Linked DNA regions of Struthio camelus. The protein of the gene in region 1 purifies or fractionates together with the protein of each later gene. This does not show direct contact. Links are inferred from orthologs where the notes say so. Each region holds a gene or a part of one and is shown on either strand. Other genes may lie near its edges.

Region 1 (7,087 bases):
CCACCTGCGTTTCTATTATGTATTTTTGTATATTAATTACTGTTTTTTTTATTTATTATATATACGCAGAGACTTGAAACAGACTCCTTTGGCGAGCATTAGTGCCTCAGGCTCGTCGTGAGCAAAGGATGGAGTAAGTGGGACGCCACATGGATGCGAGGGTGCAAGGGCATGCAGCGGGAGTCTGGGGTCCGGGCTTGTAACAAACCCCAGCTTTCTGGAAACCCAAGAGTAATGCTGATCCCGAGCCTTAAATTCACATGACTGGTAAAAATAACGCAGCAGAAACCTTCCGTCCATTAGAAAAGACTTCCAAATACCGATCTAGTTCACGTCACACAAAGCTCCTATGGGCATAGGTCGGGATTTGGCCTGAATAAAATACGACGAGATCCAAACTGAGAAAAACGACCGTTGGCATACAACGACATGTCAGCGATGGCACACGATTGCAACTGCCCTGTACTTTCTCTTTTGCTTAACTGGTGTCATGTGTTAAATTGCTAAATGCTATCTCTTTATCTTAAAGCAAAAATTCCTCCTATCAGGCTTATGGAGCCCACGTATTTTGTCAGAGAGAGAGAAAGGCAGTACCTTTGCACGTGTTCAGCTGTTTGCAATACTGCGTTTACAGGAAAGAGCCCTGTGTTGACTGGGCTCATACAGCACAGAGCTGAAGGCACATCACACGTTTTGGTCCAGATTCTCCTGTCCTCACGTGGTTAGTCTTTTAGACGTGGGGGCAGGGGCTTCCTTAAATAAAAATGAGCAGGGATTTAAAAGCTAGATTCTGGATCCGTTCCTCGCAGAAGACTCGTTTGTCCCTATCGGATATCTCAAGACTCATACGTTCCAGGATCTCTACAGGATGAAGGGGCAGATAATTTCTGCGTCAGGCCATCCTCTTTAAGCTAAAACATGATTTCCTGACATCTGAGGCTTGATCTAGAGTCTTCAGGTGTCGGGGAGTCCAGCAGGTACCGAAGAACGTTGTTCTCCTAGTTGAGTAGCTTCACTCAGAAACACAGAGCCCCTTCCTAGCCTGAAGCTGCGTGGGATCTCGATCTCCTTCTCCCTTCCTCTACTGGATAAAAGAGCCCCCTTCTCTCACATGTCCCTCCTCCACGCTGATACACGTAGGCCGTGATCGAGTCACTGCTGAACATCTTTTGTGGATCCAGACTAAGCTTCCTTCGCCTTTTGCTGTAAAAGGCCTGGTTTCCGGAGCTAATGTAATTCTAGTTCCTGTTAGTCCAGGAAGGGTTTTGCTAATGCTGGGTATAAAAATAATGCAACCTTTCTTCTTCCGCTTAATGTTCCCCTGCTCGCATACAAAGGATTGCATTTACCACTTTATTTACGGCGTCACAGGGCGGGGGTGGGGGGAGGGCTGTATTCCATGGGCCACACACCACTACTCCTCAGCCCTTTCCACAGCCGCTGCTCTGCAGAAGACATTTGCCTGTCTGTTACGTGCGACATGCCTGATTGCTGCTGGACATGATTTCTCGTCTGGCTGTTTGAACTCAAAGACCTTTTTAATCAAACAGTCCAAGACAGCTGGTACAACTGACGAGTTACCTTCACTAACTGCCGCTCTACCCACTTTGGGGTCGTGGGCACGTTTTACCAGCAGTGATTGTGTATTTTCTTCCAGGTTGTTGATACAGGTACTGAACTGCACTGAGCCAAAACCAAGCCTCATCGTGAGTCTACTAAAAACATCCGCTGCATACCAATACCTCCCTGATCATTTTTTTCTAAAATATATGTTGTTACTGGGTTTTAGTTCATTGAATATGGGCTGCATTGATTTTTTTAGAGTGCTACTTTTCTTAATCAGAATGTCTCTAACTAACGTGAATTATAGAAATCTGTTTTATCAATAGCTACCTCTGTCAGCCAAGCCTGTAATTTCATTTAATTACTTTTTGATTTTTAAATAATTCCTCTCATTCTTTTTTGCTCACGACTGTTTTTAGCTTAGAGAAAAGGAATTTTTGACATTTCAAGTATATTGTTGTCCAGGACCACATTTTGCTTGCTCTTATGAGAAATGAAATTGCAACGTGATCATCTGCATCTGGAAAGCCATCATTTTTTAGCCTGGTGACCAACTCATTGCGAGCTATGAAAATAAGGTATGACACAGAAATACCTCACACTGACATCAAATTTTTTTTGCGTTTAGGAACTTATCTACAACTTCTAGAAATCCGAGAGGTGCTTCTCGGGCTGTAGCATGAGACAGACCTTCAGCATCCGCTCCCCAGACTGAAATTTCCTATCGGACTCGAGGGTGGTTCCTCGCGCTGCACTTTGCAAGAGAGGTTGCAGGAACTGGCCCTTGCCCTGCCATTTTCTTTGGCGGTCTGTAGCAGAGGACCCCGCCAGGTAAGTTGCTGCTCGTATGCGGCTCTCTAGGCGCGTCAAGCCCCATCAGTATCTACGACACGTCAGGCCGCCTTCAGCAGCGTGCCCTCCCGAGCTGGCCGTAGGCAACGCTTTTACCAGCGCCGGTCGCTCAGATCGTCGCCCCTTTTTTTGGGGGAGGGGGGTGGGGGCAATCAGCTCCAGCGAGCCTTTCTGATCCCTTTCGGCGTTATCAGCGGAAAAAAAAAAAAAAACCACTGGGGAATTGGGGCTCTGTCAAGCGCACGCCCGCGTTTGTGCTGGGGGCTGCGGAGGCCGCTCAGCCCGCGGCGGCGCCCCCGGGCCCGGCCCGGCCGCGCTTCAGCACCGCGGACAGCGGCCGCCCCGGCGCGGCCGGGCGCTGCGGCAGCCGGCGCGGAGCCGCCGCCCCCCCCCCTCCCGCCGCCGCCGCCGCCGCCTCCCTCCGCGCACATCTCACCGAACATCTGGATGTGGCCCTTGGTGATGGGGTTGAAGCTGCCGCAGGCCAGCAGGATAACGTGCGTCTTGGTGGTCTCCGTCATGGTGCCGGCCGCCGCCGCCCGGCCCGGCCCGGCCCTGCCCAGCCCCAGCCCCAGCCGCTTTTTGTGTCTCGGTGCGGCTGCGGCGGGAGGGAGCGAGCGAGGGACGGAGCGAGGGACGGAGGGAGGGAGGGAGGGAGGGAGGGAGGCGGCGCCGCGGCTGCGGGAGCGCGGCCCGAGCCGCCCCGCCCCGCCGGGCACGCGCCCCTGCAGCCGCACACGCTCACAGCCGTGCGCGCCCGCGGGCGCGCGCACCGCAGGGCCTGGGGGCACCCGCAGGGGCGCGCAGGGTGCTCAGGTGCCACAACCCCCTTTTGCGTGTCCCCCCCCCCCCCCGCCCCCCAAGCGCCCTGCAAGGACCTTTTCGTGGCCGCGGGGTGCTCGGCCTCCCCTTCCGCCCGCTCTGGCCGGTCGTTTCCTTCCGGCTCCTCAGCTCAACCTTTTGCCCATAAACGTCCGTCCGTCACCAGCAGCAAAACCCCTTAAGGGGATTCTGCACAATCACCAGTGGAAATCCGGGCGGGGGAGCTTGCTGTTGCAAACATGAAGTTATCTGCATTCGTAGAGGTTGACTCTCGGCGTTATTCTCAAAACCAAACACGACCCAAGACAACGGGCACGTTGACGCTACGGCCGGGCCGGGTCCGTGCCGGGTGAGGGTGAGCTCGGCTAGGGGAGAACAGCAGCCCCGCTCGCAGCCCTGCCCGGGGTGGGTACCTGCGCCAGCTCCGCAGGGTCCCTTTTCCGTTGTCTACGTGAGGTAAATGGTAATAAATAAACGAAGAAGCAACGTCAAGTCAGGAAAAGTATGACACGTTTTTGTGTTTTCTCCAAAGTGGTGATATACCTTCTTACTAGCTATGTAAGGACGTTCGATGGTTCAGAATATGGGAAGAGATTTGGGGTTTTGTGTTAGGGCGTTTTTGTGCTGTTCCTCCTAGCCACCACCCCAGGGTAGAGATTTGCTACTTTAGCAGAAGTTGCGGCTCTGCAGTTTGACGCTGGCACGGCATTCAGTATAACCTTGCCTTCAAATCCACAGACTTTAATTGTCGTGTATAAGCCTCAGAACGACATCAGAAAAAGAGGACATTCTTTAAGGCTCTCTATATTACCTAAAGTAGCCGTGCCACCCGTGTTGAGGTTGTGATTATTAAAATCTGCTGTTTCTCCAGCTCCCAGGGCCAGCAAAGCCGAGTTGAGGCCGTTTGCCACGTGCAGAAGTGGGGATGCGCAGGCACCCCGGGTGTCGGAGCCACGCACCAGGCTTGGATCGGTCACCGTGCGTCAGCTCTGCAGAAGCAGCCCCTCCCTGGAGCTGCTCGTGCATTAATAGCACGTGTCATGTTTGCCAAATTCCCACAAACTGAGGCCCGCGAGTGAGCAGTCCACTCGTGACGAGCAGCTTGTGAGACTGAAGTCGGTGTATCTCTTGTACGGCCTCATGGGAATACGGGGTCATAGGGAACGTTTAGGAGGAGCAGGGAATACGGTCGGCAGAGAGCAGGGTGCTGGGAGCGGAGTCAGGGCCCCCAGCCTGTAGCGATGAGGGACACACAGCCAAGGTTGAGGTCTCTTAACTCTCCCAACAGGGGAGAGCCATGCGCTTTCTAAAATGCCTTCATGAAAAATCCTCTAAAACACAGGGAGCATAAGATGCAAAAAGATTGCACGTTGGGTTTGCAGAGCTACAGCACTACTTCCCTCGCTGATCCCTTTTGCTTTCTCAGAAACCATACACCAAGGTATCCAAGAAGGCCTCATCTAGTGATATAGGAGGGCATCATAGGGAGATACGTGAGAGTATCACCAGGATGTGATGAAGGCATCACCCAGGGCTTGCGAGGTGCCTGGCTGGTGAGATGGGTGCACTGTGCACGCAGGCACTGTGCTCCTTGGGAAACCAGGGCCTGGGCTCCGCCTCCTGCTCTTGCTGTGGCGGAGCTGAAGAGCTCTGTCACAAATCGATGAGGCCAGAAAAACACGAATAATCAGACAAACTCTCCTTTGCCTCTTTGGTGCTACGGGGCTGGGAAGCTTCGGTGGTGCCACAGAGCGAGCAGAGGCTCTCCTGGGGGCTGCTTCCTTCTGGCACCATGTACCGTGTCCATACCCTGGCGATGACTGGTGTTTCCCACTGGGCGCCCCCAGGACCTCACTCCTCCTTCGCTTGTTCTCCTCCCTCCCAAAATGCTGCAGGCCGCTCGGGCCCTCCCACGTCCCCTACATATGCTGGGGCAAGAGGCAGCACATGCCGACTGGCCCTCTGTGTGTGCATGTGTATGTCTCTTCTCTCTGTTTTCACAAAACTCCAATTTTTCTCCAATTTTGTTGCAAATTGGCCAACAGGTTCAAAAGCTACCTGTGAAGACTAATACACAGCTGGAGGGACAGGAAGCATGACTGCATTAGCTTCTTTTCTGTAGGAAATCAGGCTAAGAAATGGCATGTGGACCTCCCTGTGCTTAAAAAAATGCAGTGCTGATAATCTTTCCTGCACTGGAGAACTGATGAAAGGTTGGAGGGGGGGGGGTCGTTTTAGTGTTTTCTCTCCCCATACTGATTTAATAACATACCGATTTTTTCTTCCTTTAACAGGAACACTCTAGTGTCTCTAGCTGAGGTAGCAGCCGTTGCTCCCTCCAACCATTGCAACCTTGGTCATATGGGAGCGCAGCTGCGTGGCTTCTAAGCACAGAGCCTGGACCCTGCAGAGGTGCAGCTCAGCTCATCACAGGCAAGGCAGGGAGCCCGAGCCGAGCCACGTGCTGGCCACGTGAAGGGCAAGGAGGCAGGAGGAGCACAAGTGAGCAGAGAAGCGAGCAGAGACTGCAACAAAAATGAGAAGCTGGACCTAGTGAAGCATGGGATATTGCCAGCGTTCTTGAATGCTACGTTCATTTTTCAGCTATGTATGTTTGGGATACTCTGTCTCAGAAAGCGTTGCTGTTGCCGAGGGTCCCAGCGCAAAGAGCTCGTGTTACAGTTTTAAGGCTTATTGGTATGATGACAGCAAGAGTCCCCATAGCTGAGCCCTGTTTTAACTGCAGCTGGCTTTGACTGACTGTCCCACTCTGGCAGGAAAGGCAGGTGCTGCTGTCAAGGCTGGAGACACGTAGCGATGCTGCTTTGCGTTAAGAGATCTGATATGAAATGTGGGATTTTGGCTTTTACTAAGAGACTCCTTCACTGACTCCTTCTGAAGAAAAGAGATCGCAGTTCTGGCAAGACACTTGAAAAATACTTTTTGACCTCAGCCCATTCCCCACTAATTTTGCATGGGAAACACTTGCAGGGAGGGTATTTTCCCTTTAGCTTTCCATAAGTTGGACTACCTGCAGCCGTAGGAGCATCAGGTGCCACGGCTGCAGGACAAAGTAGAGATGGGGAGACCCGAGTGGGGCTGAGTGAAGTGAAGCAGGTCTTGGTGCTGGAATGACGCATGCAAGGATCAGCGAGGTGGATCAGCGCAGTGGATCAGCTAGACCCAGGCACGACACCCACAGGGACGGGCACCGAAAAGCTTGTAGGCGCAAATTTCACACCTGTGAACAAAACTGCAGGGACGCAACGAAGGACAGACAACCCCTGTGGTAGGAACCAGTTGTGCTGGTCCAATGAGCAAACACTCACCAGAAGCACCATTCTCATGTCCTGCTGGTCCATGCTGTCTGTGATTATTTGTGCTGCGAGAGTGCCCGGAGACTCCCACATGATTTGGGCTCCAGCCTGCGCCGCGGTGGCAAGTGGCTACCTGTGATTTGAGTTTGTGCATTAGGTCAGACAGAGGGCAAAACGGAAGAACGATGGTCTCTCTATATTGCAGCCGGACCTGAGCACTGATGTCCTCCCCCTTCCTTGCCTTCCCTCTCACTGCCACTGGCACTAACAACCAGAACACTGCAATCTAGTCCTTTTGCCTGATTGCCCCACAGCCATGTGATTGCTAGGTCTAGCCCAAGGAGTCAGAGGGGCTTAAACTAGTCATGAAATCACTGCCCGCACAATTCAGAGTCTTCCTGTCTGGAGGATTTCCATGAAGCTCTGATGCCCAAAAGCCAGCCCTGTAACCCTAGGAATTTCTGTACTGCAACAACCCACATTTACAATTCTCTTTTCTTGAGACTGAAGATCTCCTTGAAATGGGGAGTCAC
Region 2 (7,894 bases), on another chromosome or scaffold:
ATAGAGCAAATTAGAGAGGCCGGGTCTAATGCTTAAGGCAAACAGTCCCATTCTCATCTTTGATAGCGCTGCAAGAGCTTTAGCAAATACATCTGGATTAAGTGGTAAAGCACCCAAACAGTAACAAGCTTTCTGAAAAGCAAGTATCTTACTTATTACAGCTCAGCTTCTCTGTGAAATGGTATATCCTAAAGACAGCCTTGATGTCTGTAGAAATGCTCTTTTCATTGTACAAAAATGCTCATAAATGTCTACTATTTTGGGGGTACTGACTTTCACGTAAAACCTAATTTGCCTATAGTAAAACACACTACAACTAAAAATGTCACAGAAAATAACTAGTTTTCTCACGCTGAAATCTGATATAAATGATTAAAATTCTGATAAAAAGTTTCTAGCCATAGGCTTGTGAATTGGCACGTAGGGTACCTGAAAATACATAACCATTTTAAGGTGCCAAGCATTTACTGCTCTCAAACTGATATTTTGGTATCTCTGAAAAAGAAGTTTCCCAAAGTACTTCATTTAAGATTCTATATCCATCTTTTAGCCAACTGTGTTTGAAGATCTGTCAAAGTCAAAATTTGGAAAACTTCTATTAATCAGCCTCTATTCAACTATATCTACTTACTGAATTTATATAAACCCTGGTCTTAATATGGAAAAATATCACCTATATCAAAATGCATTCACCCTAACTGATGTCAGAGGTACTTTAGTTTTAAGAACACAGGATGAAATTGCTTACAGCTGTCAAAGAAAAATCCATCTTTAACACCACTAAAATCACGGAAACCTTTGGAGAACTGGTAGTTCTAATCTCAGGTATTTTTCTTCTATTGGACACCTTAAGAGGAATCCGTAAAACGGTGTTCTGAAACAGAGAAGACTGCTTATGTCTTTGCAATATTGCATTCTCATCAGATGGAAACTGGATTTTGCAGTGCTTGGTGGTCTCCAGTGAACTGTGCAGACAAGAAGGGGAAAAACAACACCCAAGCATTTCCCCACTCTACAACAGGAAAGTGGTCACACGTCAACCACGGGGAAGTAATTACAAAAAAAAATCTGCTTTGGGTGATATTGGGTGCCAACTTTGACAGTGTAACTCAACATTCCACTAACTCTAGCATGGTTCAGTGTTTCTTCTAAAAATGCTCTTTAGGAGCACGCAAATGACAAAATTTCCACTTGAGGAAGGTAAAAAGGAAAAGTACATTTAACACTTTCAAGATGATACTGTGAACAAAGGATAAAAAATAAATTTATAAAAATAACTTTAATCCTTACAGTGGTACATACCACTTGGATAGATATTTATCTATCTATATTAAAGTATTCTTGCTAGCACCTTGTCAGCTTCAAGTATTTTGCATTTTCCTAACTACCATCAAAATTTTGTTTGCAGCCGTAATTGATCGCTAGAGACAGCCTGTGTTTTTGCTCTGTGAAACAGAGAGGTGATGCAGTTGCCCCATCTTCTGATGCCCTCCCCCTCACTTCTATATTGTAACTATTAATGAAGACAAAAATCGCAAGACTAACTGCTGAGCAGAAAACAGCATTAATAGTCTCAACACTGTTAGCTTCTCTGCCAAAACTACTTTAGGAAAGTTAAAGAGCTTTCCACTGGCTGCAGGCTGTACGACTCTCCCTCTTGTTCTGTGGAAGTGTGGTGAAAGTGTGTTGGGGCCTCACTACACACACGTGTAGTTTCTGTTTAGCTTCTCTAATAACCATATGTCTACTTTTATGCAAATCACCTGCATGTCCAGTCCACAGGAAAGAAGGCTTTGTGGCCTCTGAGGTCGAAAGACAACAGAGGAGCAGATATTTGAGTGTCTCAAGGACCGGCTGACTTTCTTGTTTTCTAAGTCTATAATCTTTATTGTCCCAGAATCATCTGCTGCAGCCAAGAAATTGTCAGTCTCGTTCACTGAAAGGCAACTGATCTCCTCCTCGTTCACTTGGAAGCATTCAGTAGGCTCCTTAAGAGATCGAACATCCAGCAAACTGATAGTTTCTCCATGGGAAGTGTACAGCCTGGTAGGACAGGTGGGAGAGAACACAACAGAGGTAACATCATCTGCCTTACAAAGCTGGAGCTGTCCTACTGGAATGCCTTTTCCATCCCAGATGGTGAGCTCGCCTCTTTCTGCTCCTGAAGCTACCAGCCCTTCCTTGTTTATGTTCAGGCACAGTATAGAGGAGGAATGCCCATCAGTCCATTTGACTGCCATATTTCAGGGCCACCTGTGAAACAAACAAACGGAAAACTGAATTGAGCTGGAGTTGTTCTCATTACGATGTAAAGCTTACCTAAGAAGTGAGATTATTGGGTTGACTCAGTCACACACACCAGATGAAACTCTAGTGTCCAGTGAAAACAGACACCTCTATAGGTAAGTACCCAGGTGGAAGCTTTGGCTCAAGCATTATCAACAGACTACATCAGCAACAACATAATGGGTTGGTAGAAGTGATCGCATATGTGCTTGTGAAGGACATGAATTAGATCTGCTGCTCTGAAGTAGCTACCTAAGTGGGGGTTGCTTTCTCTGCCATTTCTTTGCAGTGAATATGGATATAGTGTGTCTGACGAACTAGGGGCACAGTTTCAAGGGGGGCTTACTGGAAAGGAGAAAGGGGAAGATTGTTACAGTTTGCAGAGAAGTCCTACTGTTCCAGTCTGTGTGAGGGCAACCACATATGAACATACCTTTTATCCAGGTATGGATATGCTAGATAATCAATATCCAACATTAATTTGTAAAGCAACCTTGTAATACCTGGAGTAAAAAAACTTGTGCTGGTGAAAGGGGGATAAACTGATTAATGCTGAAGTGACTACTTTAATTATGGTTTAAAAGCATACATTAGTATGAATAAATTTTAAACTGTTTTGCATGTGTACTTCGTGTTCCCAAACTGAAGTTAATTCTCACTTGACTGGTAAACACTAAAGCATATTTGCCTAAACAGACATACAGTAACACAAGGTGTGTTTGAAAAAAATATCAGCAGTTTAACAAAAGTAGTTACACTGTTTACTGCACATTTACTAGGGTCTTAAAGCAGCATACATTCAGCTTACTGTGCTCCTGGCCCTTTCCTGTGCACTAGCCCATGATAAGACAGTTTAGGGAGCCATGCCAGCAGAAAATGAAATGGGGCGGGGGGAAGGAGGAAGGGAGGGAGAAAAGCAACACAAAAACACAGCAGGTTTGAGCTTGCTTAGCTCCCTGAACCAGCTCACAAGGGCAAAGGAGAGCTAGTACCTGTGCAAGGGAGTAGACACAACATGGGGTTTGCAGGATGGAACTACGGCTGGATGCCAGTGAGCTTAAGTTACCATAGAGCATACTGTAACATTTACCTTTTTATTACATCAGAAAGCAATGAGTGAAGTACTCCTTTTTGTACTATGCTACTTTTTTTGTGTATGTAATTTTTATTCAGCTGGATTTGAAGAGTAGTTAAAATTGATTCTATCCACCGACAGAATTTCAATCTTCTTGATTAAATGAAATTACCCAAAGTGCCAGCTATGTTGTTAGCAAATGATGTTCCTGTATTCAGGAAGTTGAGAAAATTATTTCTGGTTACCCTCTCCCACACTGTGGGACCTAGTACATCTCACTGATATATCTAGTTTCTGGCTTTACAGGAAGAAAACCTTCTCCCAGTTGGTTTCTCAGCTTTTGAATAAACGAGTTATTGAAATAGAATTAGCTCATAATACAGTTAAAAATATGTTTGTATGGCTAGATAAAAGTACTGCTGTCAGTGGCTGTTCCACTGTTACAAGAAACTCTGCTTGCAGTTGCTTACACAGCAAGTTTAGTAAGTTAAAGTTTCAACAGTAAATACTGTGCTCACTGATTCTCTAACTCAATGCTTTTAATTATTTTAGGCCATTAATATAGGTTGACTGCTTAAAGGTAATACATTTTAAAAGGTGTATTTGAATCCAATGCCAGTCCTATTTATTTTAATGCAGTTGTATTCGTGTAGGGGCTCGCAGGGTTCCTGTACTACCAAGTCTGACACCCTGACACTGCCACAAGCAGAAGGAAAGAAAAACGGGGGGGGGGGGGGGCTGTAACCAGAACGAAGGAAGGAGCGTAGAGAGGAAACACCGGAGGATGCTGGGGAAACGCCAAGTCAGGGCAAGCGGAACGACGGGCAGCTGGGCGAGCCGCAGTGCCCGCGGCACGGGGGCGCGCCCCGCCTCGCCTCACCTCACCTCACCTCAGGGGCAACGGCCCCCGCGGCCGCGCGCAGGGCCGCACGGAGAGCGCGTCACGGCCAGACCGAGGGACTCAGAGCGCGGTCTTATTTTAAAAGCCGCCGGCTGGCGTTTCCAGTCACAGAAACTGCGGCGCTCTGCCTCGCGGTGCGGGAAAAGCCACCGGCCGGGCGCGGCCGCGCCGCCCCCAACCGCCGCGCAGGCCTCGCAGCCCCTTCCGCGCGGCGCCCTCACCTCCACCGGCCGCTCCCGCGCCCCGCCCCGCCCCGCGCATGCGCGGCCGCGGCCTCCGGCGGCGCTGCCCGCAGCCGTTATGGCGGCGCCGAGCGCGCGCGTCCCCTCCCCGTGAGGCCTGTGGCGGCGGCGGCGGCGGCAGAGCGGGGCGGGCGCTGGCGGCCGGCGCGCCTGCGGCCCGGGGCCCGCCGCCGCGCTCCGCCGCCCGCCCGCGCTTGCGGCCAGCGAAGCGGGGCGAGCCCGTCGTTTCCCGCCCCCTGCCCCGCGCTGTCGGCTCGCGCGAGGCCGGCCGGCGCGGCGCGGCCCTCGAGCCCCGGGCCCGGCGGGGGGCGCCGCCGCCTGAGGCGATGGCGGCGGGCGGCGCGGGCGGCGGCGGCGCGGCGGCGGCGCTGGCGGGGGGAGCGGGGTGGCGGCTGCCGGGGCGGGTGCTGGAGCTGGTGTTCTCCTACCTGGAGCTGCGGGAGCTGCGGAGCTGCGCCCTGGTCTGCAAGCTGTGGCACCGCGTCCTCCACGGCGACGAGAACAGCGAGGTGTGGCGCAGCCTGGCGGCCCGCTGCCTGGCGGAGGAGGCGCTGCGCACCGACATCCTCTGCAACGTGCCCACCTACAAGGGCAAGGTGGGTCGGCGGGGGAGCCGCGGGGCCTCCGCGGCCTGGGCTGGGCTGCGGGCCGTTGTGCGCCCCGCGTTAGGAGCCGGGCGGGGGGCGGGGGGGAAGACGGTCGATATTGCCCTGCCAGCGGCACCGCTAGAAGGGTTTGGATTGTCCCTTCCTGCCTGAACGCCCTCTCCCTTCCCCTTCTCTGCTAGGTACGTGCCTTTCACCACGCCTTTAGCACCAACGATTGCTCCAGGAACGTCTACATCAAGAAGAACGGCTTCACTTTGCACCGCAACCCCATCGCTCAGAGCACGGATGGGGCAAGGACCAAGATCGGCTTCAGCGAGGGCCGCCACGCGTGGGAAGTGTGGTGGGAGGGCCCGCTGGGCACCGTGGCTGTCATCGGCATTGCCACGAAGCGGGCTGCCATGCAGTGCCAGGGCTACGTGGCACTACTGGGGAGCGATGACCAGAGCTGGGGCTGGAATTTGGTGGACAATAATTTACTGCATAATGGAGAAGTGAACGGCAGTTTCCCTCAGTGCAATAACGCACCGAAATACCAGGTGGGTGAGACTTGGCGCAGGCTGGGAGCTTTACTGTCTCGAACAGCAGCTGTCCTCCAAGAATTTCTTCATAGCATGTAGTAGTTAGCTGCTTGCTGAATTGGTCTTAAGTGGTCATCTAGAGCAAAACGGTCCCTGCAGGAGGTAAATGATGGTGCCGTACAAGGGGTTTCCCCCTTAATGTTTCCTTCGATTATGTCTGTGTGTAATGTTCAGTACAACTCATTCTCTGTTGTTTCCCCTACTGAAGACAACAAATAAACTTTTATTTCAAATATGAAGTGAGGAACACACACTATGGGTGCTTATCTAAAGACAATTGCTTTTTGAAAAAGAAGCTGACGAGGCCATTCTGGCTATCTTAAGTAAAGATTTTGCCTGTCAGTGATATGACTGTGTGTGTGGTAGCTGTGTTATCTTTTTGTTACCCTGCAGTGGGAGTTGAAGTTAGTGCTTAGGTAAGAGTTTTCCTGCAAGAAAATGCAGTAATGCCGAGTGCTGTTTGTTTGCTCCCTGGCACTGTTCCTAAAGGTGACATCTTTAGGCTGGGATGTGATGTTCAGATAAATAGATGTTATTAAAGAGGAAGTGCCATTCTGTCTTTTTGTCCATATCAAAGTGGTTTACCTTTGCTCTCTTGGCCATCTGCACGATGGTTTGACTGCTAGATTTCCTCACGTTACAACTTCAGCCATGCGCAGTATAATGCCTGACTCATAATATCGAAGGTTTTGTACGAATGTTGACTCCAAAGCAGCTTGTATTTCAGTTGTGGGTGAAGATTTGCTTAGGAACTTGTATCTGATGTTCCTAAATTTCACATAAAGGCTCGCTGCCAAGCACTTGATCTGATTTGGTCTGAAGCTTGTACCTGCCATTTTTGCAAACAAAACCTAAAATGAGTGTTTTTAAAGAGATTTAGTTTGCTTTCTATTTGCATGTTTTTTAACATGCAAGTGCACTTTCCAGACTTGACCGTTTGTGGTCATTTTCTGCTGTCTGTATCTAGGCCTTTATGCAGCCACAGGGCAAGAAAAAGTTTTAGAGCCAGGAGAACTCTCATGTGGACTCGAGGGAGAACAGGTCTTGCACTTGCTTTTTTCTTTTTAAAAGTTGGTTAGAGCTCAGATTGGTGATCCTTTAAAGTACTTTATATGCAGTAAAACAAGCACAGTGAGCTGCTTGTATATAATACACTAAAAGTAACTATATGTTTGCTGGTGTTGGAAGAAAAATGTGTTGTTTTGAAGAAAATGCCAACGTTGCAGTTGGCTTGTGGAGAATCAGAAGTTTGTGCTGTATCATGTTGTGCTTGCTGCTGGTGTCTGTGACTTACCTTTACATTTGAAAAATATGTAGTAGGTGAATGCTGGGAGCATTGTGTATGTTGTGATCTGATTATCTTACTGCATTCAGTGTTCTTTTCATTCGTGTGTATATATATATTTAGGTTTTTCATACTTAATTTACCTAGGCTTTGCACTGTAATTTCTTTCTGCCCTTTCTACCAAGGAATCCCTCTGACGATGACAGTACTTGTATAGTCAGTAAAATATTCTGGTATAGTTTGTATGTTGCGCTTACCTGTTTTTAAACAGGTTCATTGTCTTTTAAAATTGCTCAGCACGGACATTACTGGTCAGTGATAGCAACCAAATGCAGGGTTTGGGTAACTTTGGGTGGAGGCCGTTACAAAACTTCCCCAAGCTGCAGAATTCTGAAGTAAATGGCATATGTTATGCTAACTCTCAGTGCTATTGTGATGTTCTGATGCAAAGGGCTACGTTTGTTACTCTGGTGGTTAGATATAGGTTGCCTATTGGAAACTGCCAGTACAGATGCTCAGAATCTTACGTGTATCAGTGAAATGGAGAAGTTCCACGGAAAAAGTAGTGCAATCTTGAGAAACAGGAAAACCTCCCTTTGAGGTGATCTGCTGTACTGTACACGGGCTTTGCTTTATTTTTCATGTCTCTATTTGAATATGTTGACTTTTTCTTTTGTTTTATTTTTCTTCCTCTTCTTATTTCTGTTTCCAGATAGGTGAAAGGATTCGAGTTATCCTGGACATGGAAGACAAAACGTTAGCGTTTGAGAGGGGCTATGAGTTTTTGGGAGTTGCATTCAGAGGACTGCCAAAAGTTTGCCTGTATCCAGCAGTGTCTGCTGTGTATGGTAACACGGAAGTGACTTTGGTGTACCTGGGAAAACCTCTGGATGGATGATGTGGATTGTTTCATTGGGAC

The links. Proteins that work in one complex are often made in the same cells at the same time.
Region 2: the proteins of NMNAT2 (region 1) and FBXO45 purify together in Homo sapiens (co-immunoprecipitation; 3 studies listed by BioGRID and IntAct, with this or other methods). This does not show direct contact. The link is inferred for Struthio camelus from reciprocal best matches to the Homo sapiens genes NMNAT2 and FBXO45.

What each region holds. Positions count from the first base shown.
Region 1 is NC_090949.1:4,499,618-4,506,704, reverse strand, and holds the start of NMNAT2 (nicotinamide/nicotinic acid mononucleotide adenylyltransferase 2), read right to left. Parts: upstream 3,067-7,087; 5' UTR 2,937-3,066; coding exon 2,852-2,936; intron 1-2,851.
Region 2 is NC_090950.1:2,495,539-2,503,432, forward strand, and holds the start of FBXO45 (F-box/SPRY domain-containing protein 1), read left to right. Parts: upstream 1-4,830; coding exon 4,831-5,100; intron 5,101-5,291; coding exon 5,292-5,648; intron 5,649-7,687; coding exon 7,688-7,873; 3' UTR 7,874-7,894. Other genes in the region: WDR53 (WD repeat-containing protein 53), read right to left, coding at 1,764-2,240. UniProt on the Homo sapiens protein: Component of E3 ubiquitin ligase complex consisting of FBXO45, MYCBP2 and SKP1. Functions in substrate recognition but also plays an important role in assembly of the complex.